Linked DNA regions of Danio rerio. The protein of the gene in region 1 binds, or shares a complex with, the protein of each later gene. Links are inferred from orthologs where the notes say so. Each region holds a gene or a part of one and is shown in the gene's direction. Other genes may lie near its edges.

Region 1 (3,455 bases):
ATAATATATGAACTTTTAATATAAGATATTTAATATATAAACATATTATTAACTTTTCCTATATAATATATAAACCATGAATATATAAGATATATAATATATAAACTAGGCTTGGGCGGTATCCAACCGGCGGTATACCGTCAAATCTCCTCCCTATTTTAACCAGGTATCCGGTATTACCAAGCATAATAAACAAAATTACGACGTAAGGCTCAGACAGCGTCACCAAATTGTGCCTAAACCATTCAGAAACTGATACCGTATATGCGACCTTAGGTTTGCGGTCACCTGTTTGTCTTGTTTGTATTCTTCTGCGTAGGACGCTCTTTCTTCAAACACACACACACACACACACACAGAGATAGAGAGAAAAAGAAGAGAGAGAACCAAGCAACACCCAGCAACTCTCTTTCTCTCTCTCTCTCTCTCTCTCTCTCTCTCTCTCTCTCATTCACACACACACAAACACACACCGAGAGAGAGCACCAAGTGACACACGCAGATTGCATATTCGGAAATGTATTCCTGCACAACAAGAAATCGGGTTGTCCCCCGCGGTACAGCAGCAGGAATGCAGACCTCTAGTTCATATTTACCACGTCTTCCTTCTTGTTCGGTCGAATCCGGAAATACTGCCAAACTGCAGGTCACTTAGTGCGCGACTCGCCACCTCAACTCTCCCTCCCTCTCTCTCCTCCACACTGTCCCGTGATGACAATCACGCATACTTATTTGTAGGCAATAAATAAAGGATATTTAATATTGAATACTTGTCTACTATTTAAATTCAATGTTTTTTATGACGGTATAACGGTACTGAAACTGACACCGTGGCTATTTTTAGATCCTGCGGTATACTATATTACTGTATTACCGCCCAAGTCTAATATAAACATAATTATTAACTATTACTTAATAGTATATAAACTATTACTATATAACATATATAATATATAAACATTATATTAACTGTTACTATATAATAAATAAACTATTACTATATAACATATATAATATATAAACATAATATTAACTATTATTATATAGTATATAAACTATTACTATATAACATATATAATATATAAACATAATATTAACTATTATTATATAGTATATAAACTATTACTATATAACATATATAATATATAAACATAAAATTAACTGTTACTATATAATATATAAACTATTACTATATAAGATAATATATAAACATAATATGAACTATAATTATATAGTATATAAACTATTACTATATAACATATATAATATATAAACATTATATTAACTGTTACTATATAATAAATAAACTATTACTATATAACATATGTAATATATAAACATAATATTAACTGTTACTATATAATATATAAACTATTACTATATAACATATAATATATAAATATAATATTAACTGTTACTATATAATAAATAAACTATTACTATATAACATATAATATATAAACATAATAACTGTTACTATATAATATATAAACTATTACTATATAACATATAATATATAAACATAATAACTGTTACTATATAATATATAAACTATTAATATATAAGATAATATATAAACATAATATTAACTATTATTATATAGTATATAAACTATTACTATATAACATATATAATATATAAACATTATATTAACTGTTACTATATAATAAATAAACTATTACTATATAACATATATAATATATAAACATAATATTAACTGTTACTATATAATATATAAACTATTACTATATAACATATAATATATAAATATAATATTAACTGTTACTATATAATAAATAAACTATTACTATATAACATATAATATATAAACATAATAATAACTGTTACTATATAATATATAAACTATTACTATATAACATAATATATAAACATAATAATAACTGTTACTATATAATATATAAACTATTAATATATAAGATAATATATAAACATAATATTAACTATTACTATATAGTATAAACTATTACTATATAACATATAATATATAAACATAATATTAACTGTTACTATATAATATATAAACTATTACTATATAGTATATAAACTATATATAAACAATTTTTTTCATAACACAGTATGCTCTCTCTATTGTAATACATTTGACATGTTCTTAATAAGCATCATAAGCATTTACATAAGATGTCCAGTTTAAGGTATAAGGGGATATATTTAAATCCCACCCAATACTTCACCATTTCTAACACTTCACAAAAGTCTTAAAGAAATCTTATTAACAATTTTGTTTCAGTCTCATCCTCCAGCGCATATCTCATGTTGATGGTGTTATTTCAGGTCCGCACCACTCATTATTTTAGTTGGAGTGAGTCATCTACATGGCTGCATGTCAAGTTGTTGTCTGTTTTCTCTCGTGTTCTCAGGCATTGTAATATGGTTCTGGAGAATGTGAAAGAAATGTGGACAGAGGTGCCCAAGAGCGGCAAAGGCAAGAAGAAGTCAAAGCCAGTGAACAAAGATCGCTACATCTCCAAGATGTTCCTGAGAGGCGACTCGGTCATCGTGGTGCTGAGGAACCCACTCATCACAGGGAAATAAAGCTGACGTGTAACACGACTGTTCAAGTACAGGCTGTCTCCTGGACACACACTCACTCACACAACTGTGTTAAAAGTGCTAATTAGGCTTTTCAGCTAATTAATTATTACTTCATACACAGAATGCCTTGAGCTGAAACAATAATGTTTAGCTGGAAAACGTTTAACATCATCTGGAGAGATTGTCTGGTCAACAAAATGATAAAGATGTTGGAGTTAATTTTGTTGTTGTTATTGTTTTGTCATTTGTGATTTGTTTTCTAAATAAATTTTTGGATATTCAAGTCTTGATCTATTCAATCTATTGTATGACTCTAGGATGTAGGCATGGAACGATAACCGTTTTCAAGGTATACTGCTGTTCGGAAAAGTCAAGGTATTAAAACCGTCATCATTATCTTTTCATTTGTGTCTAGGGTGTATGTAGGATAATATAGTAAATAGTTTATTTCCTTTTTTTTTTTTTTTTTTTTTTTTTTAGGACAACATTATCTCCAGCTGGAAAAATATTCAAAGATGTCATTTTAAATTGTAAAGAAATCTGTGCTTTTGAAACTAATGAAAACAGCAGAAGTCAATGATTCATTTTCATTATTTATTTAGCCTGACATTTTTACTGTATGAATCCCTTTACATGATCTTCCAGCATTATACAAATTATTTATAGAAGTAACCGACCCATCAGAAAAAAAACTTTAATATTTAGCCCTGTATAAGTCTAAAATTTCACTCATGGTCTTAAGAGTCTTAAAGTCTTGCACTTGATTTGAAGAAACCTGCAGAAACCCTGATGTTGTGCTTCCCAATCTGGCCATTATTGCACATCAGCAACAGCAACAATCCTAATCTCAATACCAAACTTTAACCTTTTTATTTAAAAGG
Region 2 (4,106 bases), on another chromosome or scaffold:
ATTTTATATATGGCTATTTATATTGTTAATAATTTGCATAGTTAATATTGTTCTTTGATGTTTAGTTTATAAAGATTTTTCAAATGTTATTTGATTAAAAATTGTTTTAAAAATCTTTTTTTTTTCCATCCCACACGAAAAAAATAAAATAAAAAATCGTGATACGAATCGAATCGTGGGTCAAAAATCGTGATACGAACCGAATCGTGGGTTTGGTGTATCGTTACAGCCCTAATATATATATATATATATATATATATATATATATATATATATATACACACACACACACACACACACACACACACACACACACACACACAGTTGAAGTCAGAATTATTAGCCCCCTTTAGAATTTTTTTTTTTTTTTTTGCTTTTTTAAATATTTCCCAAATGATTTTTAATAGAGCAAGGACATTTTCACAGTATGTCTGATAATATTTTTTCCTCTGGAGAAAGTCTGATTTGTTTTATTTTGGCAAGAATTAAAGCAGTTTTAAATTTTTTAAAAACCATTTTTGGGACAAAATTATTAGCCCCTTTAAGCTATTTTTTCCCTAACAGTCTACAGAACAAACCATTGATATAGAACAACTTGCCTAATTGCCCTAACCTGTCGAGTTAACCTAATTGACCTAGTTAAGCCTTTAAATGTCACTTTAAGCTGTATAGAAGTGTCTTGAAAAATATCTAGTAAAATATCATTTACTGTCATCATGGCAAAGATAAAATAAACCAGTTATTAGAAATAAGTTATTATAACTATTATGCTTAGAAATGTGCTGAAACAATCTTCCCTCCATTAAACAGAAATTGGGGAAAAAAATAAACAGGGGCGCTAATAAATCAGGGGGGCTAAAAATTCTGACTTCAACTGTATATATAAATTTATGTTTTATTTATTTAGTTATTTTGTTAAATATGTAACTGTTATTGATGTACATCAACTGAGAGATTGAACTTGTTGTTAAAAATTAATAATAAAAATATTCTGTTGATCAAAATAAAAATTGGTCTTATGTTATCCAATACTTAGAAAAATATATATTCCCAGAGAAACATCATTTTGACTCAGAGTTTATCTAGTCTGGAGGTGCATAACTGTGGGTGGGATGTTTAACTTTCACACCCACCCAATCGTAATGCAGAATCTTGTGAATTTTTAAATATCACTTGAAGAGAATGTTAAGTTTTCCAACAAGCACTACACAGTCCTGCCTTTACCCCTGATCTTCCAAGAAATCCTCTGAAATCATAATGTAAATGTTTCGTCATGCTTAATGTGCATCTTGCCTTCAGGAGTCCTGGCCTGCCTTGACGGCTACATGAATATTGCGGTGGAACAGACAGAGGAATATGTCAACGGCCAACTGAAGAACAAGTATGGAGATGCATTCCTCAGAGGAAATAATGGTAGGTCTTTATTTATATTTTTTCTGTTATTTATAGCTCCTTAAAAGGATAGTTCACATAAAAATCAAATTTGTCATCATTTACTTGACTTACTTTTTTCAAAGCTGTTTGAGTTTTTGTTCTTTCAAAGGTGCAGATGCTTTGAAGAATGTTGGTAACTAGTTGCCATGAGCTATCTTTCCATTCAAATATGTAAATTAGATGCACAGCTGGATTATTGCATAAAATATTGGCGATCAAATAACATCAGAATGGGTGACATGGTGTCTCAGTGGTTAGCACTGTTGCCTCACAGCAAGAAGGTCGCTTGTGCATTTTGGTTGAGTTGCTGGTTTCTCCCTTAATGCTGTCCCACTGTCATTTATAGTATCAGATGATTTGTTAAAACAGAATCGCATGACTTTTTCATGTGCATGCTGCAATTTATTCAGTACATCTGTTTCCATCATAGTTAATGTACGTTTTTTTTTTTCGTATTGCATATGCACATTTTCTAAATTGATGCACATTTCCATTAAGCATTTTTGTGCAATATGTGGATAAAAATGGGTGGACGGTAACATGGCTATTGAAATCCCAAGTACAATTTTTTTTTTACATTGGAATTTTTGGCTACTGTTTACCAACATTCTTTAGAATATTTTCATCTGTTTTCTGAAGAAAAACGAAACTAATGAGGGTTTGGAATCGTTTGAGAGAAACTAAGTGATAAAAAAGGGTTAAGGTATTCAGCCTAAAATGGAAAACATTTCATGCATTTTCCTGTTTGTTTAGTCAACACAAAAATCTGAAAGTAGTTTACAAAGTGAAAGTTTTTGAAAACCCTGGCGTTTTCCTGTTTGTGTAAATGCTCAAAACAACTGGGAGTTTTTAAAAATGATGACATCATGCTTTTTCATAGTAGGAAGTGCTGGGCGATATGATAATTATTTTCAATATTGAACAATAACAAAATATATTTTGATATAAGTTGTTAATACTTCCAGATTTAAAAGAGTATCCCCCATGTTAACATCCAAAAATGTGAATTAACTTTATGCGCAAAACTGGAATATTGCATAAGATGTGCAAATGCAGCAGACCTTTTCATCCAACGAGTCAAAGTGAACAAAATCATCATTTCATGAATAACAGGTGCCAAATATATACAGTAAAAATTAAATTTGCTGCGGTAGGAGAAGCTGCAAAAATCTTTTCTTTATTTCATAAATGGACTTGCTCCTCAGTGGCATTTAAAGGCCTCAAAAGCGGAGCACAGATGCTCTTTACGGCTCTGGAGATCATTAATAATATAAGATAACACTAATATTAAAACTGTTAAGGCATTTTAGAATGCCAAAAACAACATTTCAGATGTATTACAATACCATTCACACATGTTCATTATCACATTATCTCTTATAACAAAATCACATTACTTTTTTTTTTTTTGTGCCTACTGGAACTTGTTTGGTACAAGTGTTTCCATTGTAGTTTATGTGTATCTTTTCGTATGGAATAAAGTTTGTCCTACTCAGTTATGCGCATCCATTTTTTTAATGCGCATTTTCAAAATTTATGAACATCTTGGCATTTCCATATATTTTTTTAATGCGCATATTCAAAATTGTAATAACGCACTTCTAGATTCCCTTTGTTGCACATTTCTGGTCTGTGATTGGCTTTAAGATCAACATAGAATAAAAAAGTCCCGAGCTTATCATTGTTATTGAACCAAAATCTATTGCGATTTGATATAACATTGTTTATCAGCCCAGCCCTAATAGTAGGTGTTTTGGGTAAAGCTAAGATGGTTTTTTTTTTTTGGTTACATCATTGTCATAAATGTAGCCTAAATGTTTATCTTTGGGTGTACAATCCCTTTAAACAGAAAACAGTGATGCAGTTTCAGAAGCTCAGAGTATGTTAGTTTCAGACTTACAAAGATAATGCTTATAACAAAGTAAATTATTGTTTTCTTTGCCCTCTAGTGTTATACATCAGCACCCAGAAGAGGAAGATGTGAAGCTGCTTTACTTATTTCTTCATGCGTTGTTAGAGAAGTCAATTGTTTACTGTTAATATTCATAAATCCTTTGTTAGCTGATGATGATGTCTAAGTTTGTTAAATGTTTTGTAACACACATTTGCTGTCCTGCAGAACGATGCAGTAAATCATTTGTTTTCCAACAATAAATTGTGTTCATGTTTCCCTGATTTATCAGTTCTCGAGGTGCCTATGAATATTTAAACAGTGATAATTCAGTCATAAGAAATTGCTGATTAGCACTTTCAAGTCTGGAGGTTGTTGAAAGCTTCTTTATTTCCACATTTCCTATCCAATGCGTAATCTACCAGCTGTTGCACTTTATTTGATCTAACAGACTTTCATTGCATGTTGTCATTTTTTTTTTTTTTTAAACAAATCTATCTGATTGTTCTGTTGTCTTATTTTTTTTCAAGGTTTCAGGAAAGTTAAATGTTGAATTCCCTGACCATTTATTAACTAAAAAGCAGAATTTCTATGACCTACAATAGATAAATAGGCAGCAGTTGTGCAAGTTTTTAGAAGAGGTTGCAATTTTTTTTTTTTTTTTCTCAGATTTCTTGCTCTTTATTTACTTATATAACATTATATTTGCGTATAGAAAATGCTCATCAAAATTTTCAATACCTTGAGCTGTAATAGACATGGCATATTGCTGCACCTCTCT
Region 3 (4,106 bases), on another chromosome or scaffold:
TTGATTACAACACAGAATTGATTTGAGTGACTCTTAACTATCCTGATACAGGTCAAACCAATCATGAAAATGGATATTTAAGATAGCTGATTGCTAACTACAAAATAGTAGCATAGGATCCCTAAAATAACTTCCTAATGATCTAAAAACTAGGACAATTCATCAACATTAATTAGGTGGATGCAAAAAGCTATCACAAAGGTTTAAAGTCTATATCTCCACAGTCAGAAATATAGTAAGAAAATGGAAGGCCCCAGGAACAGTTCTTGTGAAGGAAAGATGTGTTTGACCAAGAAAAAATATCTGAAAGGCAAAGGGCGAAGAATGGTTAGAATGGTCACAAACAAACCACAGACCACCTGCAAAGAGCTCCAGGAACAACTTGCTGCTAATAATGTCATTGTAGATAGTTCCACAGTTCAGCGCACTCTTCACAAAGAACAGCTTAATGGAAGGTGATGCAGAGGAAGACTTCTCTGCATTCTGCCAACTAGAAGATTCGTTTGAGGTATGCAAAGGCTCATCTGGACAAGCCTGAATCATTTTAGAAAAATATTCTGTAGACAGATGCCACAACCATAGGCGCTTTGCATGGTGGAAAAAGAACAAAGCATTTCAGGAGAAGAACCTGCTCCCTGCTGTAAAATATGGTGGAGGGTCCATCATTCTGTGGGGAAGTGTGGCAAGCACATGTACTAGAAACCTTGTCAGAATTACAGCAAAGGTTGCATGGATTTTACCCAGTATCAGCAGATTCTGAAGACCAATGTTTAGGAATCAGTCAAGAGGCTGAAGTTACGGCAGGGTTGTATGTTTCAGCAGGACAATGACCCAAAACACAGTTGCAGATCTACCATGGAATTCATGCTCCGACATGATACAATGTTCTGATATGGCCATCCCAGTCCCCAGACTTAAACATTATTGAGAATCTATGGGTTGGTTTGGAAAGGGCAGTTTATGGTTTGCACCCATCAAACCTGACTGAACTGGTGAAATTTTGCAGGGAAGAATGGACCAAAATGCCTTCAGCAAGAGTTCAGGGACTTATCCTTGGCAATAAGAATCAACAACAGGCTTTTATTTCAGCATAAGTTGGCTGTACAAAACATTGAAGTTATTATTCTGTTAGGGTGCCCAATTTTTTGCACCTGTCTGTTTTTGTTATTACATCTGCTGATTAAATAATTAATATGTTATGTTCTGTCAGAAGTGAATTGTTGCTTTTTCCCTAGGGTATAAAATATATCCAAATGAAATTGCTGATTTGGACAGCCAGCAGGCTATGGCTTTTGTTATGAAAATTATCAGGAGTGGAGAAATTTGTACATAAAATTGTAAATTAAAGTCTTGTTACCACTTTACAGACAGTTGTGCTAGCTTTGAAATTTAATAATAGAAAAAAGGCCTGTTTGAGTGTCTTGAGTACATTGGGTACACAAGTGTCTTGGTACATTTGGTTCAGTTAAAACAAACTGGTGTAGTGCTTCTGTTTGTGCAGTTTATTTGAAGGAACTTGAGCTCTGCCAATCATAAGTTGGTGTGCTGCCATGTCTGCCATGTTCCTGGTAGCCTGCATAAACAAAATGCATACATATGAAGAGTTCAGATGCGAACACCTCTAAGTTCTGTCTGAAATATCCATTGAAAATGAGCATTTTTCTCAGACTCTTATGTTTATGTTGAGTTATTTTATTTTAAGGACCTTTAAAAGAGTGTATTCTTTGCCATAAACTTAAATTTACTGAACCTACACACAGGACCCTGATAAAATTGATTATTTTTGAAGGAAATTTCAAATGGCTTTTAGAGGTTTTTGCATCTGAACTCTTCTAATATGGTTTAAATGTATGGTTTCATTTTGAGATGCACAGATTTTTTGCTGCTGAATATTGCAAAAAAAGAGAAAACTGGCCAAATATATGAACCACAAAAAGGTTATTTTGTGCTGCTGCACTGGCCAGTATTGCTGGTTTCACTTTCACTTAAAGCAGGGATGTCCAAACTCGGTCCTGGAGCGCCGGTGTCCTGCTGAGTTTAGCTCCAACTTGCTACAAACCACCTGCCAGGATGTTTCTAGTGTATCTAGTAAGAGCTTGATTAGCTGGTTCATGTGTGTTTAAATAAGGTTGGAGCTAAACTCTTCAGAACACCTGCCCTCCAGGACCGAGTTTGGACACCCCTGACTTAAAGGGATAGTTCAGCCAAAAATCTAAATTTGCTCACTCTCTTTACACTTCCTCAAGTTGTTCTAAACTTTTTAGGGTTGTTAGAAATATCGTTTGATACCAATCTGTATTTTAAATATGATCACTGTTGAGCACGTTCTTAAACATTGCTGATTAGCCACTGTGTTCATGCTCAACAGAAATGACTGTGGTTGGCTGTGGAGCATTTGAAAGCTGTGTCAATCAGCAGATCTGTCTATGTGCTGACATATGAGCAATCTGATGGATCACTAGTGCCTGTGACTCTGTGCTTGCACTTGGTGAACAGCGGTGAAGAGTGATGAACTGATGACCTGTACAGCCAATTATAGCCATTTCTGTTGAGCATCTGAGCACAACGACTAATCAGTGGTTAAGCATGTAAATGTTAACAGGAGATGGAGGTTTTTTAAGTTTCAGGAAAAAACCTTTAGACTTTGACAGCCCTAAAACCTTTCGAAAATAATTTCATGCTTCTGTTGAAGATAAAATTATATATTGTTGAAGAAAGCTGAAAACCATTGACTTCCATAGTAGGAAAAAACAAAATTATGGAAGTCAGTGGTTACAGGCTTCCAACTTTTTTTAATATTCATGTTCAACAGAAAAAAAATAAACTCATAATTGTTTGAAACCAGGAAAGGATTAGTAAATGATGAAAGAAATTACAGATGCATTTGAAAGCTTCACTCTGAGGTTAAACTTTGATCCAATGAATAAACAATGATTCCACAGTGCTATGAACTATATCGTCTGGTCAACTAAAAACCCAACTGGACTGTGACTTGACTAGCATTGCGTACTCTCACATTGTGATATCGATGATAAAATGATACATTGTACGGCCCTGATGAGTGTTTTATATGTGTGCATCAGCTTCACTGTGTGTGGGCATGCGTGTATAACCCGTGTTGTGTTTTGTCTGTTCAGAGTGAGGATGTTTGGCTAGAAGCTGCGCGTCTGCAGCCTGGAGACACAGCGAAAGCAGTAGTTGCCCAAGCAGTGCGACACCTCCCTCAGTCTGTGCGCATCTACATCAGAGCCGCTGAGCTGGAGACGGACATCAGGGCCAAGAAAAGAGTGCTCAGGAAAGGTCAGTCTCTCTCCGTCTCCCTCTCTTTCTTTACTTTCTCAGTCTCTCCCCTCATCAGTTTTCTCTTTCCACTGTCACTGGCTCTTTTTTCAGGTGCATACCTGTATGACAGAGACAGATGACTTGTTAGTTATGTAGGATCTTTTATCAGTCTCAGCATGTTAAACTGTCCTGAATCTCCGCCTTTATAATAAAGGATTTCTAAATAGTCTGGCACTGCTACTTCATCAATGTCTCTCCGATGATTAACTGGTTAACTCTATGTAATAATTTCAAGTAATTAGTACGGTTTTAAAAAATCTTGTTGCTCTGCCATTTTAGTAATGGCTGATTATTCATGAGATGATTTGCATAAATTGTTGGCATGGCAGTGTGGGGTTATATTTCACACACTGTGTGACCATACTGATTTTTGATTACTGATTTTTTGAAGAAGAAGCTGCATGTGTAGCGAGCATTGACTGATATCAATAGCTCTTTTAAGGGAGAAAGAGAGCCTCTGAAAGCATTGAATGTCTTTCTCTGTCCATGTTTTTGGCTCAGAATGTCATGCGAATTCTTTAGAATTTTCCAGGGGCCTCATGTACAAAGACTTGCATTCAATTCTCACAGAACTTGCATGTAAATGTGAAAAAATACCCCACCAAAATCACAAGAACAACCCTGTAGTCTCCCTCAAATAAATACATTTCAACTTGTTAATGAGATCACTTTAGGAAAAGCAAGAAATTAGTCAAATCAATCGACAAGAAAATAAACTCTATGGAGTGCTATTATTGGAGATTGGAAACATTGCCCTTTGGAAA
Region 4 (4,815 bases), on another chromosome or scaffold:
TGATGACAATAAATTGTTCTGTCTTATAATATCATTGTTGTCACCTTGCATTGTAATATATAAAATAGTGCATGTATGTTTAGCTCATGTTTCACAATTTTACTAAAATAACGTGTTCTAGTTGTATTATAACGTTTTTATAATATTATTTAAAATCAAAATATCTATTAAATCTTTTTTTTGAAGCACAATTTAATTCACAATTTATATGCTATGTTCATAACATCTTTATTATTCTGTTATTTATTTTTTACAGACACACACACACACACAAATATTAATATAATAACCAAATAAAAGAATTTAGGTTGATGTCAGGCTTTTCAGCAATGTAATGTAATGTGTATTTGGGAAACTTTTCAACTACGGGCACTTTTAGTCTTGTGAAGTTGAGTAAAAATTAACAAATCCTGGCCTCAAGTTTAAACAATTTGTCTAGTTTTAAGATGTGTAAGAGCACAAACTTAGATAAGAAGAGAGATTGTTTATATTTAACATTTTTTCCATCATAAAATGAGCAAACGTCATTTCCATCACATCTCAATATACAGCTTTTATTTCAAAATGAAATCAATTATGGCAGTAAAAAGTTGTCTGAGATCCTTTTTATATCCAGTTTAACCAATCTTTCCATAATGTGTACAATAATTATACATTTGTCAATTAAATAAATGAGTCTCTTAGGACCAAATGCTGAATTGTACACCTGTCACACTCTAAAATTTAATTTGATTAAAAGCTTATTACAAAATAAATGAATTTGTATTAAATAGAGCATGAGCTCATAAATTGTGAATTCATTTTTAAAGTGTGATAAGAACTTAAATTTTTTTTTTAAATATGTGTGGTGATGGAAATGACAGCTGTGGTGGAAATGACCAAATCAGTGTTAATGTAGAGAAACGTTAGACTAATATTAGAAAAATAATTGAACTCTTAAACTCACACTTTTTAAACTCAGTTTACAAAATTACTAAGTATAACCGCACAGTTTTGCATGTGTAGGGCTGTGATTGATCTAAAAACTGATTTGTCTAGCAGATGAACAGTAACAGTGCACTGTGAATGTCAATATTATTCAAATATTATACAAATTCGTTTTAAAATAAAAGTATTACACATCTACAGTTGGACAATGAGACTGAAAGGCCTGGTTTTAGAGCACAATAATTCATTAGAGCGATGGAGACTATTGGAGCGATATGGCGGAGAGGGTAATGCTGTCACCTCGGCTGGGTCAGTTGGCATTTCTGTGTGGAGTTTACATGTTCTCCCCATGTAGGCGTGGGTTTCCTCTGGGTGCTCCGGTAACGGTTTCCCCCAAATACATGCGGCACAGTTGAATTGGGTAGCCTAACTTGGCTGTAGTGTATGTGTGTGAATGAAAGTGTGTGGGTGTTCCCTGATGTTGGGTTGCGGCTGCGTAAAACATATGCTGGATAAGTTGGTGGTGTGGTGCCACTGTGGTGCCCTCAGATGAATAAAGGGACTATGTCAAAGGAAAAATGAATGAATGAAAGAATGAAGTTTACAAACTTCATTTATTAATTCATTTGCCTTCGACACCATAGTGGAATGAACCTATATACCTTAAACAAATCCATGCATCCAAATTATTGTTAATCATTCAAAATTTAACTTCTTTCATGTCCAAAATGTGTACAAGGAGCAAAAAAAAAACAAATAGGTCATGGACTTTTTTATTTCGAATCTTCCTGAACACATTTCCCAGAAGCCTTTGCTGTGAAACATGTGACGTATTTACTGTGCGACTGCAGATCGTTGTTTGGCGTTTGTAAGTCGTTGCATGTTGGCTTCTGTTCTTTCCATAAAGTGAGAAGAAAACAGGCGGGTTGAGTTGTAAGTTTGGTCTGATTTTACCTTGAACACTTTCTTAAAGATTGCGATTATCAAACAGCAGTGTTTATTGTCTAGTTGTGATTTATTTTCTCACTGTCTTCGTAGATGTCTTTGGCAGACGAGCTGCTTGCGGATTTGGAGGAGGCAGGAGAAGAGGACGGGCTGTATCCCGGCGGAGAAGAGGGAGAGAGTGATGGAGAGCCCGGAGAAAGACAAGTTGATGGAGGACTGGAGGACATCCCGGAGGAGATGGAGGTGGATTACAGCAGCACGGAGAGCGTCACGTCCATAGCTAAACTACGACACAGCAAACCGGTCAGTTTCTGACATCAATAACTCACACACAGCTTCATTTCAGATCTATTTTTAGAACCTAACTTATTGCAGACTTGTTGATATGTTGCAGTTCGCTGAAATCATGGATAAAATCAGTCACTATGTTGGAAATCAACGCAAGAATTCAGAAGGTAACGTTGAGGTTGTTTTTATTCACACATTCAGACTTTGGTGTTCAATAAAATACTAAAGCAGATTTTAAAAGCCTAATACAGACTATTTATAATGACGTAATAATTTAAACACAAAGTAACTACTTGTGACAAGGTCCCTGCATTGTTTGTCACGCTACTTTGGATATTATTTCTGAAATCCAATTCAGGCTAAATATTCAGACTTCAAAACAACATTAGTTCTACTGTTTGACTGCACAATGTTGTATTTTCATAGTCATGGGCTCCTGATATGATTTCTCTATTTAGAATTTGTAAAATACTTCCCTGAAATTGCATTAAGAGGGTGAGAGTCAGAATGTGCAAATATAAAACTAACTTTACATCAATGAAGATAAGTAGTAACTTTTTTTTTTTTTTTTTGTAAAGCGTGCTGGTGAACATTTATTTTAACTTAAAAAATTAAGTCAAAGAATCAGGATCCATATCATTGTGACATAGATGAAAATGATCTAAAATATTGGTCCAGAATTGAGATAATCTAGGTCATCCACAGAACATACAACTCAGATCTGCTGGCTTCAAACCACATCTGGAGCAAGATGAATCTGACCCTGAATACATTTTTGCCAGCTTACTCCTTGATAGGTGAAGACTATGAAGCCCCTTAAACTGTAGAAGACCATGTCTAATACATATAGAGAATACTAATTTTAATTAACGTTGTTTAAAAGGGATGGTGAAATTAGGTATTAAAATCTGCTCACCCTCAATGGTTCAATGAGGTTTTTGTTTTGTTTTATTTTGTTGAATACAAAAAATGTAAATATTTTGATGATAAATTTGAAAACTTTAACCATTAACATCTTTATTAAAAGCAAACACTATGGAAGTCAAGGGTTACAGGTTTTATGTTCAACCAAAGAAATGAATTTAAACAGTTTTAGGCACAAGTGAAACTTTTTTTAACATGGTATTTCCTCTTTTTTCAGTGTCTGGACCGGTTGAAGCAGACCCAGAGTACAGGCTCATTGTTGCCGCCAACAATCTGACGGTGGAAATAGACAACGAGCTTAGTGAGTTCACTGTTTGTTTTATACCTGTGTATTAAATTCACATTATATGAATTGTAACACTAAAGCTATAAAGGCAAATTTCAGATATATTTGCTTAATTATTCATTTTTCCAAATGAGCTTTTACCATGATTCTGACTGTTTTTGCATTTTAATATTCTGAATTTGAAATTCTGTGAAATTCTGCATACATTATTTTTTTACATTGTATTATTATTATTATTATTATAGTTTTTTTCATAAAATGTTATAATGCTTTTGAAGTGGCTCTTGGAGCATAGCAGATGAAGTTAATGTCCTCGTATAGTGAAATGGCAGACAGTGCTTGAGTTTGTCTGTAGTAAAGAAGGCACACCACTGATTTACACACAAAATGCAGACTTTATTACAGTTTTTTACAATTGCTATGACACTTTTATCAATACATTTAACAAGTTTCCTAAACTCTTAACACAGTTAGCACAACATCCGTCTTCGTGGGCTATACAATTAACACATTTATTGTTGTTTTGACACAAAATGCATCCAGTTAACACAAATTTAAAATGCTTTAACTTCTTTTACACACAAGCACAACCAAGAAAACAATGTAATTTTACAGTCAAATTTACAAATGCTTTAACACAGTATGTCAGAACAGATAACACCATGTTCTAAACAGAAATTATATAGGATAAAGTCAAAGTGAACAGCTGTTCTAATTGTGAATTGAAACACAAGTTTATTCCCTTTATTTTATTCAATTGCCAATGAGAAACAGCATATTGCGGTTATATAAATAAATAAATATATATATATATATATATATATATATATATATATATATATATTTATTTATTTTTTAAATATATATATATATAACCGCAATATGAGTCTCTCTCATATATATATATATATGGAGTTCATTAGTACATACAGTACATATACAGTACAGCATTTGCATACACTGTGTCTAATTACTTTCAGAGAGTCATGAAGTTAGAGGCCAATCAAGTACCACATGAAATTTTCAATGTTGACAAGGCTGGGGATGTCGCCGTAGGAAAAACATAATAGGCCAAAGGGCCACAGTTACCGTGCCGGGCCACAGAAGATATCAAGTATAATGTGGATGAGAACTTGTGGCAAAAGACCGGGAAGTATAGAAGATTACTTTGTTATTTTATTATAGTTGTGGTGCTTTTCCTGTTTGCAGTGATGTCCTTCTGCAAAAAAAGTCTGTACTGCAGAAATTCTGTGTCTGTATTTTTTTTACATAAACTGTAAATTTTATAAAGCAATTTTTTTCTTCCTTTCGTATAGAATTTTTGCCGTAAACGAAAGAAAATGCATGCATTTACTTAACCCAACGAAACAAAACTGTAACGAGACTTCAAATATAAGGGCAGAGCTGACACATAAACTAATGGAGTTTCTGTAATGTCAGCTGAT
Region 5 (4,698 bases), on another chromosome or scaffold:
TCTTGATTTTTCCTCTTTTGAAAAAAAAAATTGTATTTAATATTTTCCTATAAAATTTTTTGGCTTTTCTAGTTTTTGGGCCGTTATTGTAAGTTGTTTTGTTTGATAAGCTCCAGATTTGGCTTCAGTACTGACTAATGTATTTGCACAAATATAATACTGCAGCTTCCTATTAAAAACATGAATATAAAATAAAGATTTTTGAGGAGTGTATGGTACAATACTTATTACAAATTACCATGTATTTTGTATTATGTTGCTACTTTTGTTAAAATTATTCACATTTAACAGATTATATAAGTGGTATGTAAACATTCGAGCACAACTGTAGACGTAATATACAGTTGAAGTCAGTTGAATTATTAGCCCCCTTGTTTATTTTTTCCCTAATTTCTGTTTAACGGAGAGCAGATTTCTTTTCAACACATTTCTAAACATAATAGTTTTTGCTAACTCATTTCTAATAACTGATTTATTTAATTAATCATGATGACAGGTAAATAATATTTTATTAGATAATTTTCAAGATACTACTATACAGCTTAAAGTGACATTTAAAGACTTAATTAGGTTAATTAGGTTAACTAGGCAGGTCAGGGTAATTAGGCAAGTTATTGTGTAATGATCTGTAGACAAAAATATAGCTTCATGGGGCTAATAATATTGACCTTAAATTTTATTTTATTTTTTTATTTATTTTATAAAAACTGCTTTTATTCTAGCCAAAATAAAACAAATAAGACTTTTTCCAGAAGACAAAATATTATCAGACATAATGTGAAAATTTCCTTGCTCTGTTAAACATCATTTGGGAAATATTTAAAAAAGAAAAAAAATCAAAGGGGGCTAATAATTCTGACTTCAATTGTACGTTATATGTTTTTCGTCTGTGTGCACGCACAGACTTATTTTGGTAAACAAATAAATAACAACTCTTTACGGTTATTTCATACACAATAACAAGCAATACATAATTAACAAATTAATAAAAATGGACATTCACTTACATTAAAGATAGGTCGGACTATAAAAAAATCTAACAGTGAGCGAATAAAGTTAAATAACATAACGTTACATGTAACTTTACTTTGAGCCTCGTCACTAACCTTTATAAAAACAAATAAACATTCACACACATTGAAGAAAATTCGGTTTAACAATAAACAGATCTAACAGTAAACAAATAAATAACAAACGTTTAAGGTATTTAATTGAGGTAAGTTAACGTTATTAATGTAAAATGTTGAGTTTTGAACTCAGTCACTAGCCAATAATAGGCAAAAATATTTTAAAACAACAAGCATTCACTTACATTGACAAAAAGTCGATACACAAGCAACATAAAACAATTAAACAGGTATTTTTGGTGTATAACAATAAAAAACTGAGTTTTAACAGCCTCAAACTGCTGACCTTTTATTTATTGATAACGTTAACCGCTAGCAAGCGTCCTGTCACCATGGTGAGATGCTCCGTGACGTAGATGCAGGCAAAGGTCACAGCGCGTCACGGCAGGCGCGACACACACGGCACTGAAACGTCGCTAACCTTACAGGTTTTAGCGGGCTTTCGAAATCTAAAACACAAGAACATACGTCTAATTTATTTTTAATAAAGTGTCAGGAGCGTAATAATCATGGCGTCCACCGCGGCGGGCAAACAGAGAATCCCGAAAGTGGCGAAGGTAAAACCTATATGATGTTTTTGTGAGTTAGCATTAGCATGTAAACAACGTGAAGTCGTGCTGACGTTACTTAATAATTAACTACTGTATATAAATGTGGTTAGTGGAGTTAAGCTTATTTTTTTATAATGTATTTGTGTTTGTGTTCAGGTGAAGAATAAACCCCTGTAAGTTAGCATTAGCATGTAAACAACATGTAGTTCTGCTAACGTTACTTTATAATTAGTTAACTGATGTATAATGTGTATACATGTAATCAGTTGAGTTAAAGGTTGTCTTGCTTTGTAATGGTTTTGTATTAATGCTCATGTGAAGAATAAAGCTGTGAGTTAGCATTAGCTTGTAAACAACGTGAACTTGTGCCACTCTGAAAATAACAACTGTATAATGTATAGAACTATAACCAGATGGGTTAAAGATTGTCTTGTTTTGTAATGGTTTTGTGTTTGTGTTCAGGTGAAGAATAAAGCCCCTGCAGAGGTGCAGATCACCGCCGAGCAGCTGCTCAGAGAGGCCAAAGAGAGAGAGCTCGAGCTGCTGCCACCGCCACCCAAACAGAAGATCACCGATAAAGAAGAGCTCAATGACTACAAACTGAAAAAGAGAAAGGTATGAAATGTTGTATCACCATGTAGTATACCATGGTGTCACTATATGCATATGTCATAAAGTAGTACTAAATTACTGTGCATGTACTGAAAGCTTGGTTCTGTCATGGCATATGCCTCAAAAATATACAGTAGTGTCACAATTGCTTATAGAATGTGCGCAGTGCTATCATGATGTTCAGAAAATATGGTATTGATATGGTGTGTAGATTATAAAAGATGATATCGCTATGGTTTAAATGTATTATTTTATTATGGTAAACCTCTAGAAAACATGGGCATTATCACAGTGCATATTCAGAAAACTCAGAGGATATGCAATGTCTTGTTGGGTTTATAGTTGACCAGAAGACAGTTTATATATGTATATAAAGTGGAAGTCTGCCTGTGTTTTATGGACTGCCGCTGTATGAACATTTCAAGAACGTATAAAGCATCCAGGTGTAACGCTTCTCTTCCTGAAGACGCAAATCACTCAGGCGGACACAGAGAACTGCGTTCTGCGTTGTTTATTCTGTAACAGAAATATACATCCTCTGGCAACAGTATGCATTTAAACATGCATCGCCTTTCTGCATTCAGCAACCATTTTCTGCTGTGTTGCCACAAAGTCATTTTAACAAAACATTATTTATTTACAAAAGGTTAACATACCTGTAACAGAAATATACATCATCTGGCAACAGTATGCATTTAAACATGCATCTAAAAAAACCAAACAAATAGTAAGAAATCACCCTTGCACATATTAATGTCATCATTCCAGCTACACCTAGCATGAGCAAATTAAACCACACAAAGTTTGTCACACACGGCAATCACTCGACAGATTTGATCTAAAACATCACTTAATGTTCATATTGGGCTTGTATGTGTTATTAATATGTGTTAAAATACAAAATTTGTCACATTTAGCTGGAGCACATTTTACCTACCGCCTTTCTGCATTCTGCAACCATTTTCTGCTGTAGGCGGGGTTTTGCAGGTGAAAGGTGAAAGAAACAATTACACACTGTTGCCACAAGAGGTCTCTCAACAGCCACAAAATAAACAAAATAACCCATTTTGGTGAAAGACAATTAAACATTATTTTAACCCTGTTACACAGGCACAAGAAATTAGACCATTTGTACCTTTAATAAAGATACATTTTTAAAATAATTTTTACAATAAAGAAGATGCAGTGTTTTATTTACATTTGATTTTTTTGCAATTCCTGTACCTGTTTGCTGTTTGACAAATTCATAAAGTAACAATACTTGTAATTTTTTGTTATTTTTTTATGCATGATTCAATCCTTTATTGCAATCAGTCTGAATTAATAAACACTTCCCAAATAGAGTTAAGGCATCTGATGGACCTATATTCATTTTGCATTATTTATCACAGAAAAACAAAATATGTCAATGTTTGATTTATTTTTCAATATCTTGCACCCCTAATGTTCATGCTTTGAATATGCTATGTCAACAAGGTACATCTGGTCACAACATGATGTTACCAGTGTAAAGGTTTTGTCAATTTGATGTTTCGCATTTGATGTTCGTTTCTATAAAACTCCTAGTATACATGTACTAAACTCAATAACACATGGTATTATTGTGATACATACTTTAAAAGCTTCATATACATAGTGCATCTGCAGAAAATATGTCATCAGTATATTATGTGTCAAAAAGAATAAAATTATATTAATATCTTAAAGTTAAAATGCCACTGTCAGTGGTATATAATTAGGGGTGCACCGATATGGGTTTTTTAGTGTATATCGATAACTAATAACTCTTCAGACTTGGAGGCTGATAGTCGATATATATAGGTCGATAATTATAAATGTTTAAAAATGTTATATTTTTAAACTTAATAAAAGATTGAACTGCTCTTATGAACTGAAAAGTCTACTCAAACCAAAAAAGCTATAATTTCAAAATTGCAAGGTGGTTATATAGACCTATATTCACGATTTCACATAAATCAGCATGCAAGAAAATTAATTATTTCCTTTTCTTCATAGCAAATTAACATGCAACTTCACTGTTGCATAAAAATAATAGGTTAAATAACAAAACAGGATTTAATCAACAAGCAAGTTAAATATATTTAAATAAGATGAAAATGAAAGAGCTAACAACTGAAACCAGCTCAATTGTTCTTGAATAAAACGTGTTACATTGATGTACATATGTACAAATATGTAATGTTCGAAAAAAAAAAAAACTTTTCTAAGGGTGTTTTGACAGTTCAGAGTTACCGTACAAGCAAAAAGTTGAGTACAGGTTGTATTACTTTAGAAAATGCGGCATAGATTCATCCTATTTAGCGTTTTAGATTCTTTTGAACACGTATAGCTGTAGTGCTTGTCAATCAGACAATGCTTCTGTGTTCGTTCTTGCTGTCAATTGCGGG
Region 6 (4,871 bases), on another chromosome or scaffold:
TTACACTATTAATACTACAAAATGGCGTAGAATAGTGCATAAGTATGCGATTTGGGACGCAGCTATAGAATTCGAAAATCAGTAGGCAAGAATTACCCGGATGACTTACTACTTCTGGCTAGATTCTGAAGTGCGCATCCCATGCACGCTGCGCTATCCCATAATGCCCGTGAGAGAATTCATGAATGGAAGGGAGGCGATGCAACTGATGCAGGTAGATCACGTGACCACGACAAAATGTCGGATGTAGTACGTCCGAATTCCATCCATACTTTTCACATTCATACAGTATAGAACGTACTTTTCTAACGGCTGAGTAGTACGTTTAAATTCAACTGCAGTACCTACTGAGTAGTAGGCGGTTTCGGATGCAGCCTGTGTCTGTGTGTTTATGTGTTGTTTTTAAATGCTTATCATCAGGGTTGGGCAAAAACATTTAAATATATTTTAAAATAAAATACCAAAAACCATAAGTTTAAGTATATCAAAATAAACTACAAAATACCTCAGCCACAAAATGTATCAAAATAAAATACAGTATTTTTGTATTTTAAAAAATTCTACAAAATATTTTTAAATAGGAACATGATATTTGTTGGCAAACCTTTCATTAATAAGCCCATTTGATCAGTCCCTTCACCATTAAACTGATTCTTTAATACTCAGTGTAAAAACATGATTTCTGAAACTTTCAAAAAATTATCTTTTTTTGCAAATAAACTTTTCATATATTATATCATGTTCCTTCTGTATAACCTGTCAGAAGTTTTTAATTATTAAATGTGCGTTTCTCATGTTGTCACTTTTACATGTTTAGGCATACAGTACATCTTTCTTTTTCATTAACAGTACAGTGCATCTGCAGATCAACTACTGGCATTTGAAACAGCATCGGAATCGCCACTCATTTATTCATTCATTGTCTTTTCGGCTTAGTCCCTTTTGTAGGACTTATTGTAGGACTTATTGTTATGTTGTTTGTTTCAGTGACAAACATTTAGCATCAAAGTATTTTACAATATTTTAAACTACAAAAATAAAAGACATTAATGTATTTTTAATACAAAACATTAAGCCATTTCCATCAACCCTATCATAAATACTGCCCATCCCTGCTTATATTCATTCTAGGTAATTTTCAGAATGCTTGCTTTTAAAAACAGGAGAATGCATATTAAAGCATAATGTTATAAGAAGGCTCTATATGTTTAGGAACATTTATCTTTAAATTATAGAGAATCCAAAATCCATTTTTATTTTCAGAAATGTTGAAAACTTGTAAGCACTGACATTCATAGTATTTGTTTGTCATACTATTAAAGTCAATGGTTACAGGTTCCCAACGTTCTTCAAAATATGGAAAGATCAAGATGGTTTTAAACAAGTAAATTGATTAAATTGGCTGAATTTACATTTTTTGGATGCACATAAATACATAATCGTGAAAAACATTATAATCATTAGCATGTCGTGGAGGTTTTGTTTTGTTTTACAATATAGCGTTTTGTAAGTGGACTGCTTTTTTGTTTTATAAATGGGGATAACGCAGAGGATTAACCTGAGCCCTGGACTGTGCTTTATTATTATTTGTCTCCATCTGCTGACGAAAGAGGGAATTGCCAGAAAAGAGGAGCCATGTACGTGTATCAGCAAGCTCTGTGTCAGACATGTCATGTACCTCTTCGGGCATAAAGTTGACTGTTTTAAGAAAATATTTCACATCCATTGAACATGCGCCTTTTAATCTCTTTTGTGTGATGAACGATTGCGGAATAATTTACTGAGATGAGTACAAATGACGCAAAAACAGAACAAAACGCCAACAATTTCGCGACCAATGGGATTTTTACGTCTTCATTCTTCTAGCCAATAGAAGCACAGAGTGAAAGACCCGGCAGCTTTTTGATGACGTATGTGATCTAAAGCACAAAGCCGCGTGAAAATGGTAAGTGTTGTTATTTAGCAATATCATACAGTAATTTACGTTTAAGGAATTAATAAACGTGCTACGACCATTTGTTTAACATATTTAGGTTTTTTTGACCACTGTGTTCGCGAGAAAGACAAACAATGCTTCATGCTAACAGCTAACGCTAGCTTTCTTCATAGCCAAATAAAACAACATTCTCAAGCAAGGATTATCCCCTTAATTAAATGCCCAACAGAAACAACTCTGGCTGACTCCTATTATATTAAAGTCTTGGTATTTCATTTGCCTGCGTAATTTAGAAAGCAGTGTTATTTGCTGTTGACATTTCTCATTTGGTCTGTTGATAAAACTTGATTCAATCGTTTTATCGATGTCTTATTTGCTGTCCGCCTCATATTTTGAGAGTAATTCCTTCAAATGTTTATTCTCAGCTCTTCTACTCGTTTTTCAAGTCTTTGGTTGGCAAAGATGTTGTGGTGGAGCTCAAGAATGACTTGAGGTGAGTGCTCACCTTTCTTTTACAAATATTATATATATAATTAGAAATTGAATATACATATTTTATAATGTATGTGCCAGCTCGTAAAACTATGAACACATCTATTTTGCAGCATATGTGGAACATTACATTCAGTTGATCAGGTACGGAAACTGACTCCACACGTTTATTAATATAAACAAATATTGGGCGATTTAGGATTAAGTTAATCTTGTCATTTGTTCTTCCCTCACAGTACCTGAACATCAAACTGACAGATATCAGTGTTACTGATCCAGAGAAATATCCGCACATGGTGAGAAATGGATGAAATGAAAATTACACTCATAATCTTGGGTCTAATATCTTTATCAATGTCATGGAATTTTAAAAGGTTCATTTCAGACATTGAAATTTAGGAAATGTTGATATATTTTTGTCAGATTCATGGAATAACAGGGATTTTTTGTTTGTTACTTTACATTTTAGCTTTTCTTTATTAAAATATATTTGATATTTACAGCCATGCAAACCGCAAGTATTTTTTTTTTATATTAAGTAAATTATCATTTGTTGTTCTCATAGTGGCTATTAAATGAATGTAATAAAATGGCTAAAACCATTTCAATATATTTTTAATTTAATATTACAATTTTTTATAAGCACTACAGAAGCCTGTTATGTTCATGTCATGGTTGATATATTGGTTTATGGTAAAAGTACAGAAATTAATACTATGAAAAATCTGAAAATAGCAAGTGTAGGACCAATTTATTTTAAAGAATATTCAAAATAAAATTTTTTTTTGAATACTAAGTCATCTTTATTTTTTGAAATATGCAATAAAATATTTTCAGATTCTCATATAACATTGCTTTGGTTTTATTGTCAAAAAAACTAACTAGAAAGCAAGTGTAGAATTGCAACAGGATTTTTTTTTGTAAACCAACAATGCTGTGTAGTGAAAACCATTATTTAAAACGGTGAAAATACGGTCAACCATTTGATAGAGCAGGCAGCTAAAGGGTTAAAGAGGGAACCCTGATAATTGAATTGATTCCTAAATTAATGTAGATCAGGTTATTAAGTCTGTGATTTATGAATTGTCATAGTGATGTAGGTGCTCAACAAGGAGAACTTTGGTGTATATAGATGACTCTAATATTGTTTTGTTGTAGTTGTCTGTGAAGAACTGCTTCATTCGTGGATCAGTGGTGCGATACGTTCAGCTTCCTGCAGATGAAGTGGACACACAGCTACTACAGGATGCTGCACGCAAAGAAGCTACACAACAGAAACAATAATGTTTATATTTGAGAATAGTTTGGTTTTGTTCCAATGTTCAGAAGCATCATCTGTGGAGTTTTGTTGATTTAAATGTTTTTCTTACCTAAAACATGTAAAGTTTTTTTTTTCTCTTTCATTTTTACGTCATGTGAAGCCTGTTATTGAGGGTGTGATTTACTGTTTTTTTTTTTTTACTTCACAAGTTAGTGGTTGTGTGCTTTTAATGAGTGTTGGTAAAGTTCTGTACTGCATACCAATGACTTTTAGTTAGGTTCACACATTGATGCAAAAATAAAGTATTTTCCTCTGTTTTCACACTTTCCTTTTGGTGGAAAAAATCGTCCATTGTTGGAGTTCAGCTGACAGCATTTTACAAATTATGTTCGTGGAATGCTGGTGTTTTGGTTTAGGCAGGCATGTCCAAACTCGGTCCTGTAGGGCTGGTGTCCTGCAAAGTTTAGTTCCATACCCAATCAGACACACCAGGGCTAGCTAATCAAGCTCTTACTAAAAACATAATTGCAGATGTGTTGAGGCAGGTTGGAGCTAAAATCTCCAGGACACCGGCCCTCCAAGATTGAGTTTGGACACCCTTGGGTTAAGGTGAATGGATAGTTTAGCAGAGGTGTCAAACTCAATTCCTGGAGTGCTGCAGCCCTGCACAGTTCAGTTCCAAGTGTATTGGAGCAGGGTTGGGTTTCAAAGAAGCCCGAAAGATTTAATTACTTTAATCTGGTTGTGCTTACTTAAACTGAACTAAACAGTGCAGAGCTGCAGCCCCCCCAGGAACTGAATTTGACACCTGTAGTTTACAGCCTAGTCCCAAACAAAAAAGTAAGTTGTTTAGAGTAAAAGAAACTCGTAGTTACTGTTCCTAAAATATACCAGTGCCTTTGTTTTGTGTTTTTTAGGCACTTTTATGCGCTAATAAAGTAATCATGGCTTTATCAAAGCGAATGTAGACCACACTACAAAAATATGTTTAGGTGTTTTAGTTCAAAATAAATTGTCATCTACATTTCTATAAGTCAAATGACAAATATGTTAAGTTAAACTGATTAACTTAAAAAAGGAAAGTAATGAAAACATTTGTTGTCGTTTTTACAATGTATGTAATTTATTAAATATTCATATTAGGGAGGGTTACTATTTTATTTTTTTATATAGTAGTAAAGA
Region 7 (4,641 bases), on another chromosome or scaffold:
CTGATTATAGGCAATACACTATACATTTTATTCAACATTAAAATAGTGAAAATCTGTTCTTGATGGTATCTGAATTATAATGTACTAAAAAGAGATTCACTAAATCCTCTCTGTAGAAACATTTTACTCTACACTCTCAGAAATAAAGGTACGTGAGCTGTCACTGGGGTGGTCCCTTTTCAAAAGGTACAAATATGTACCTAAAAGGTCCATACTAATACCTCAAGGGTACGTATTATTACCTTAAAAGTACAAAAGTGTTCCTCTTAATATTTTTAGGTACTAATATATACTCTTCAGGTACCAATATGGACCCTTTAAGTACAAATGTGTACCTTTTGAAAAGTTACCACCCCAATGACAGCTCGCGTACCTTTATTTCTGAGAGTGTGTTATGTCAAAAAAAAAAAAAAAAAAGAATTTTGCACTTAAATTCATCCAAAAAAAAAATGTTTTTGTTCTAGAAGTGTGTGCAAATTTGTGCATAATAAAAATGAGTTTTTTTTTTTAACCTTGGTTTTAAATTATAAAAGCAAACAAACCAATTATTAAATCATTTATCTTGTGAAAATTAAAATATTTTTATTTACATTTCATTAACAATAGTTTTATTTTATATTATTTCATTTTATTGCTGTATCCAATGCCCAAAATAATGGTTTGATATTTTCTGTTTTTGTTTCTATTTGTTAAGTATTAATATTTACTACTTATACTATTACTACAACTAATAATAATAATAATGATAATAATGGGGCGGCGCAGTGGCGCAGTAGGTAGTGCTGTCACGACACAGCAAGAAGGTCGCTAGGTTGTTGGTTCGATCCTCTGCTCAGTTGGCATTTCTGTGTGGAGTTTGCATGTTCTCCCTGCTTTTGGGTGCTCCGGTTTCCCCCACAGTCCAAAAACATGAGCTACAAACGTGTGTGTGTGTGTGTGTGTGTGTGTGTGTTTTTGTTTGCGTGTGTGTTTGCGTGTGTGTTTGCGTGTGTGTTTGCGTGTGTGTGTGTGTGTGTGTGTGTGTGTGTGTGTGTGTGTGTGTGTGTGTGTGTGTGTGTGAGAGTGTGGATGTTTCCCAGTGATGGGTTGCGGCTGGAAGGGCATCCACGACGTAAAAACTGAATAAGGATAAGTTGGCGGTTCATTCCTCTGTGGTGACCCCGAATTAATAAAGAGACTAAGCCGACAAGAAATGAATGAATAATAATAATGTTGAAAATTATTTAATTAATTTTATTGTACGGTTGTGAAAGTGCAAATCCTATATCAATGGTTAATTAAAACAATTCTGACATACAGTATAGCTGTGATTCCTGAAAATAATATTTGCATAAATATACAGTACACCTCTGATTCCTGGAAAAATATAGTAGTCTTTGTTTTTCCCATTAATCATTATATTTACATTTCTTACCTATGTTCTAAACAGAATCTTAAATTAGCTTCAAGCCATTAATGTAATGTAAAAATAATATCAAGGCATCTGTTTCCTGACGCATAGTTGTTTTTCCATCAGTGATGATAATCATCCAACATATGTTCAGTATTGCAGTTTGACTGCTAAAGAAAAACGCGTTTTTCCACACTTTTGGAACCTCGCGAGGCCCCGTAGCATCACTTCCGGAATACGGCGGGAAAGATGGCGGCTGAGTCAAACGAATCTCAGACGGCAATGAATATGGGGCCTACATCGAGAGATGAGGTAAGAACTTCGCTGTTAGTTCCAGATTATGAAGTCGATATGTTTGTTTGACCGCGCTGAGCAGTTTTAAAGCGGCTCGTGGATGTGTTCCGGTGGGATTTTACGGGTTGTGGGCCTGCACGCGTGGAGCAGATGGCGCTGCTTTGGTTTGTGTGAGATCATTTGTGTACATTATGAACATAAACACTCTGATTTAAACCCATGATAAACTATTATGTTTGTCATTTAGTCCACTGAGTGTCTGTAAAATTCAAGTTACATTTGAAAGACAAGTTACGATAGGGATTAGGCCGAAAACGATAACAATATAAACCAATTACCGTTCAACAAGTAACTTAATGTTAATCAAAATCTAGTTTAACGTTACATATTTATTGCGTAGGCCGACATTTCCATATTTTTATATCACGTTAGTGAAATCTATTTTAAAAGCAATGAGATAAAGAGAAATCTATAGACAACATCGTATCGTTTATGATAGGAAACATTTGTGCATATTGATTTAATACATACGTTAGTGAATTAAATATATTGAAAGTCCGTGTTAATAATATATGACCTTGGCTGAATTTTTCGTTTAAGATTAGCAAACGTAATGCCTAAACTCCAAATATTGGTACAAGTTTGTTATTAAACTGTTTCACTGCTTAGATTGTATTGTACGTTCATTAAATTGTTATAATTTTGCTGTGCCCTTTAAAACCTTATGCTAAGTTAGGAGAGTATGTTATGGTCTTTTTCCCCAAACATGGTTTTTATGTACCTGTGCTATTTTTGGGGCTTTAACTATTTTGAAAACAGTAACATTATGAAATACTATTGCAATTACAAAAACAGTTTTTGTACATAAATATATTTTTAACATGTACTGTTAATCTCTTTGAACATTTATTTATTTATTTGCGGCTGAACTATCATAGTATGACACATCGTTTGGGAAAAGAACGATGTAGTGATGAATGTTTACCAAAATCCGTAGTTTCTCTGTTGCAGATCCTTCATTTGAACCTTGTTAGGTATAATGTAAAACACCCATAAAGCCTGGTTTATACTTCTGCGTGAAGTGATCGTCGTGACCCACGGTGCATGCAACGCATGTAGCTGTGCATTTATACTTTTGCGCACTGTTTCTGTTGTTCTGCAATAACACTTCCGAAACGCTAGTTGGCACTCAGGTGTTAATGTTCCTTTGTGTCGAGGTTCTTCACTAGTGTTTTGTTTTTTCTGAACGCTTCCTAAATGTACAAGTGGCTCAAACTCACTCATTTTGAGGCAGGAACCGACGGACGTGCAACAACTTTAACCATGAGGTAAATACAAAACAAAACTTTCCATCCGGAGCTCCTTCACGAGTCTCTACACTTGTAAACAATAGCTCCGCTTGGTCCCATCCTGAATCTCCAGCGCTACCAAGCCGAGCAATCAGATCTTGTGCTACGCGTCACTGCGACATGTAATTACATTTTTTTGAGAGGTGCATGTCAGCGACGGCCATTGCGTAGGGCTATGCGTCAACGCGTAGGCTGCACCGTAGCATACGTGCGCTTGACACAGAAGTATAAATCAGCCTTTAATGATTCTCTAAACGGGGTTAACAACTTTCTTAGACACGAACAAGTAATTGTGGCCCTGTTCAGGCAGGTATTCAGGTTCATTTTTCATCAATCTGATGCAACTTTTATTATTTACAAGACCTAAAAATGCAATTAAAAGTTTCAAATCAGTTAAACTCAATTTATAAAAAGACTAGCCTATTTTATGCATTAAATAATGAAATGTATAACTAATTTGCTTTATTTCCGATTAGACCATGCACTTAAGTCTGTTTTACAGTTTTAATATGTGCATGCGCTTGTTTAAAATAGCATTCGTTTAACAAAAATTTTAGCACATCGAAAGTAATTAAATTACCTGTCTTTTGATTAAAACCTTTATGCAAAAGGATCAGAAATGCACCCAAAAAAGGCAATCATCCGACACTTGACATGCATAGCTCTCATGCCACATTTTCAGGATAAATTCGCATCTAAGTGCTGCTTTGAATATAATAAAATGATTTAAAAGCACATTAAAGACTTCACTCATAAAATAAAACATTCTGTGACATAATTTTGATGATTGTTTGACCCATTAGTTGCACAAAGTAATTGCTTTCACCAGCGTCAAACATTCACCAGCGTGTAGTTCCCTTAAACTGTGAAAAATACATATAAATACATTTAGATCATTTACTACAGTCATTACTATTGGAATGTAAAGAGACTTTCAATCAGCACAGCAAAAAATGTTTCTAAAGACAATCACCTACTGCACCTTTAAGAACAACGACAGCAGGAATAAGATGTTTTTCTTTAAGATGCAGCACATTGAAAAGCGTTTAGATGACACAATTTTAAAGACGTAACCATTCCTATTGTGGGTAGCTTTCTCTTTATTCCCAGTATCCCCGACACGGCTAGTGAAAGTCTTCAGGATCCTTAGAAACATTAAGGCTTGTGTATTATCTGTAGCTAAACTCTGCAGGACGGTGTGACCCTCCAGGAGCAGAATTGGACATCGCTGGTTTAAATCATGATCTGGCTGTTAGTTATTTGCTGTAATTTGCAATGATGCCACTCTTTTCATTGGCACTGAAAGAAACTCCAGTCCAGCTTTTTTAGGTTTATGTAGAAGTGCTGATATTGCTCTCGCTCCCCTTACTCATATATTATCCTTTTTTTGTTGTCGGCCATGCAGTGTGTTTCTGAATGATTTATTCCTTTAGTGCTCAGCATTCTTAGTGTGTGTGTGTCTAAGTCTGAAATACCAGCCTACCTGCTGAATGGCAGATCCATGTTTGAAAGAGTAGTTTGCCATAAGTTTGCAGAAATCACTCGAGTCTCCCACTGCGTACAGCCTGGGATTAGGCTCAGTAGGGACATATAGGATGGCGAGTGTGT

Evidence for each region.
Region 2: snrpd2 (region 1) and lsm6 share a complex: the UniProt entries of both Homo sapiens proteins name them as parts of the U4/U6-U5 tri-snRNP complex. The link is inferred for Danio rerio from reciprocal best matches to the Homo sapiens genes SNRPD2 and LSM6.
Region 3: snrpd2 (region 1) and prpf6 share a complex: the UniProt entries of both Homo sapiens proteins name them as parts of the U4/U6-U5 tri-snRNP complex. The link is inferred for Danio rerio from reciprocal best matches to the Homo sapiens genes SNRPD2 and PRPF6.
Region 4: snrpd2 (region 1) and prpf31 share a complex: the UniProt entries of both Homo sapiens proteins name them as parts of the U4/U6-U5 tri-snRNP complex. The link is inferred for Danio rerio from reciprocal best matches to the Homo sapiens genes SNRPD2 and PRPF31.
Region 5: snrpd2 (region 1) and crnkl1 share a complex: the UniProt entries of both Homo sapiens proteins name them as parts of the minor spliceosome. The link is inferred for Danio rerio from reciprocal best matches to the Homo sapiens genes SNRPD2 and CRNKL1.
Region 6: snrpd2 (region 1) and smx5 share a complex: the UniProt entries of both Homo sapiens proteins name them as parts of the U4/U6-U5 tri-snRNP complex. The link is inferred for Danio rerio from reciprocal best matches to the Homo sapiens genes SNRPD2 and LSM2.
Region 7: snrpd2 (region 1) and cwc22 share a complex: the UniProt entries of both Homo sapiens proteins name them as parts of the minor spliceosome. The link is inferred for Danio rerio from reciprocal best matches to the Homo sapiens genes SNRPD2 and CWC22.

What each region holds. Positions count from the first base shown.
Region 1 is NC_133193.1:43,801,259-43,804,713, reverse strand, and holds the end of snrpd2 (small nuclear ribonucleoprotein Sm D2), read left to right. Parts: intron 1-2,399; coding exon 2,400-2,574; 3' UTR 2,575-2,857; downstream 2,858-3,455. UniProt on the Homo sapiens protein: Plays a role in pre-mRNA splicing as a core component of the spliceosomal U1, U2, U4 and U5 small nuclear ribonucleoproteins (snRNPs), the building blocks of the spliceosome.
Region 2 is NC_133176.1:39,352,204-39,356,309, forward strand, and holds the end of lsm6 (U6 snRNA-associated Sm-like protein LSm6), read left to right. Parts: intron 1-1,299; coding exon 1,300-1,413; intron 1,414-3,383; coding exon 3,384-3,418; 3' UTR 3,419-3,613; downstream 3,614-4,106. UniProt on the Homo sapiens protein: Plays a role in pre-mRNA splicing as component of the U4/U6-U5 tri-snRNP complex that is involved in spliceosome assembly, and as component of the precatalytic spliceosome (spliceosome B complex).
Region 3 is NC_133198.1:7,068,863-7,072,968, reverse strand, and holds part of prpf6 (pre-mRNA-processing factor 6), read left to right. Parts: exon of another isoform or gene 1-2,005; intron 2,006-2,205; exon of another isoform or gene 2,206-3,137; coding exon 3,138-3,300; exon of another isoform or gene 3,301-3,401; intron 3,402-4,106. UniProt on the Homo sapiens protein: Involved in pre-mRNA splicing as component of the U4/U6-U5 tri-snRNP complex, one of the building blocks of the spliceosome.
Region 4 is NC_133191.1:35,273,506-35,278,320, forward strand, and holds the start of prpf31 (U4/U6 small nuclear ribonucleoprotein Prp31), read left to right. Parts: upstream 1-1,755; 5' UTR 1,756-1,860; intron 1,861-1,965; coding exon 1,966-2,175; intron 2,176-2,266; coding exon 2,267-2,327; intron 2,328-3,301; coding exon 3,302-3,385; intron 3,386-4,815. UniProt on the Homo sapiens protein: Involved in pre-mRNA splicing as component of the spliceosome. Required for the assembly of the U4/U5/U6 tri-snRNP complex, one of the building blocks of the spliceosome.
Region 5 is NC_133195.1:52,274,790-52,279,487, forward strand, and holds the start of crnkl1 (crooked neck-like protein 1), read left to right. Parts: upstream 1-1,585; 5' UTR 1,586-1,636; coding exon 1,637-1,684; exon of another isoform or gene 1,685-2,140; coding exon 2,141-2,293; exon of another isoform or gene 2,294-2,997; intron 2,998-3,227; exon of another isoform or gene 3,228-3,259; intron 3,260-4,698. UniProt on the Homo sapiens protein: Involved in pre-mRNA splicing process. As a component of the minor spliceosome, involved in the splicing of U12-type introns in pre-mRNAs.
Region 6 is NC_133181.1:30,702,044-30,706,914, forward strand, and holds smx5 (smx5), read left to right. Parts: upstream 1-1,866; 5' UTR 1,867-1,942; coding exon 1,943-1,945; intron 1,946-2,361; coding exon 2,362-2,429; intron 2,430-2,541; coding exon 2,542-2,572; intron 2,573-2,664; coding exon 2,665-2,724; intron 2,725-3,586; coding exon 3,587-3,712; 3' UTR 3,713-4,647; downstream 4,648-4,871. UniProt on the Homo sapiens protein: Plays a role in pre-mRNA splicing as component of the U4/U6-U5 tri-snRNP complex that is involved in spliceosome assembly, and as component of the precatalytic spliceosome (spliceosome B complex).
Region 7 is NC_133184.1:45,378,321-45,382,961, reverse strand, and holds the start of cwc22 (pre-mRNA-splicing factor CWC22 homolog), read left to right. Parts: upstream 1-1,608; 5' UTR 1,609-1,639; coding exon 1,640-1,702; exon of another isoform or gene 1,703-1,848; intron 1,849-4,641. UniProt on the Homo sapiens protein: Required for pre-mRNA splicing as component of the spliceosome. As a component of the minor spliceosome, involved in the splicing of U12-type introns in pre-mRNAs. Promotes exon-junction complex (EJC) assembly.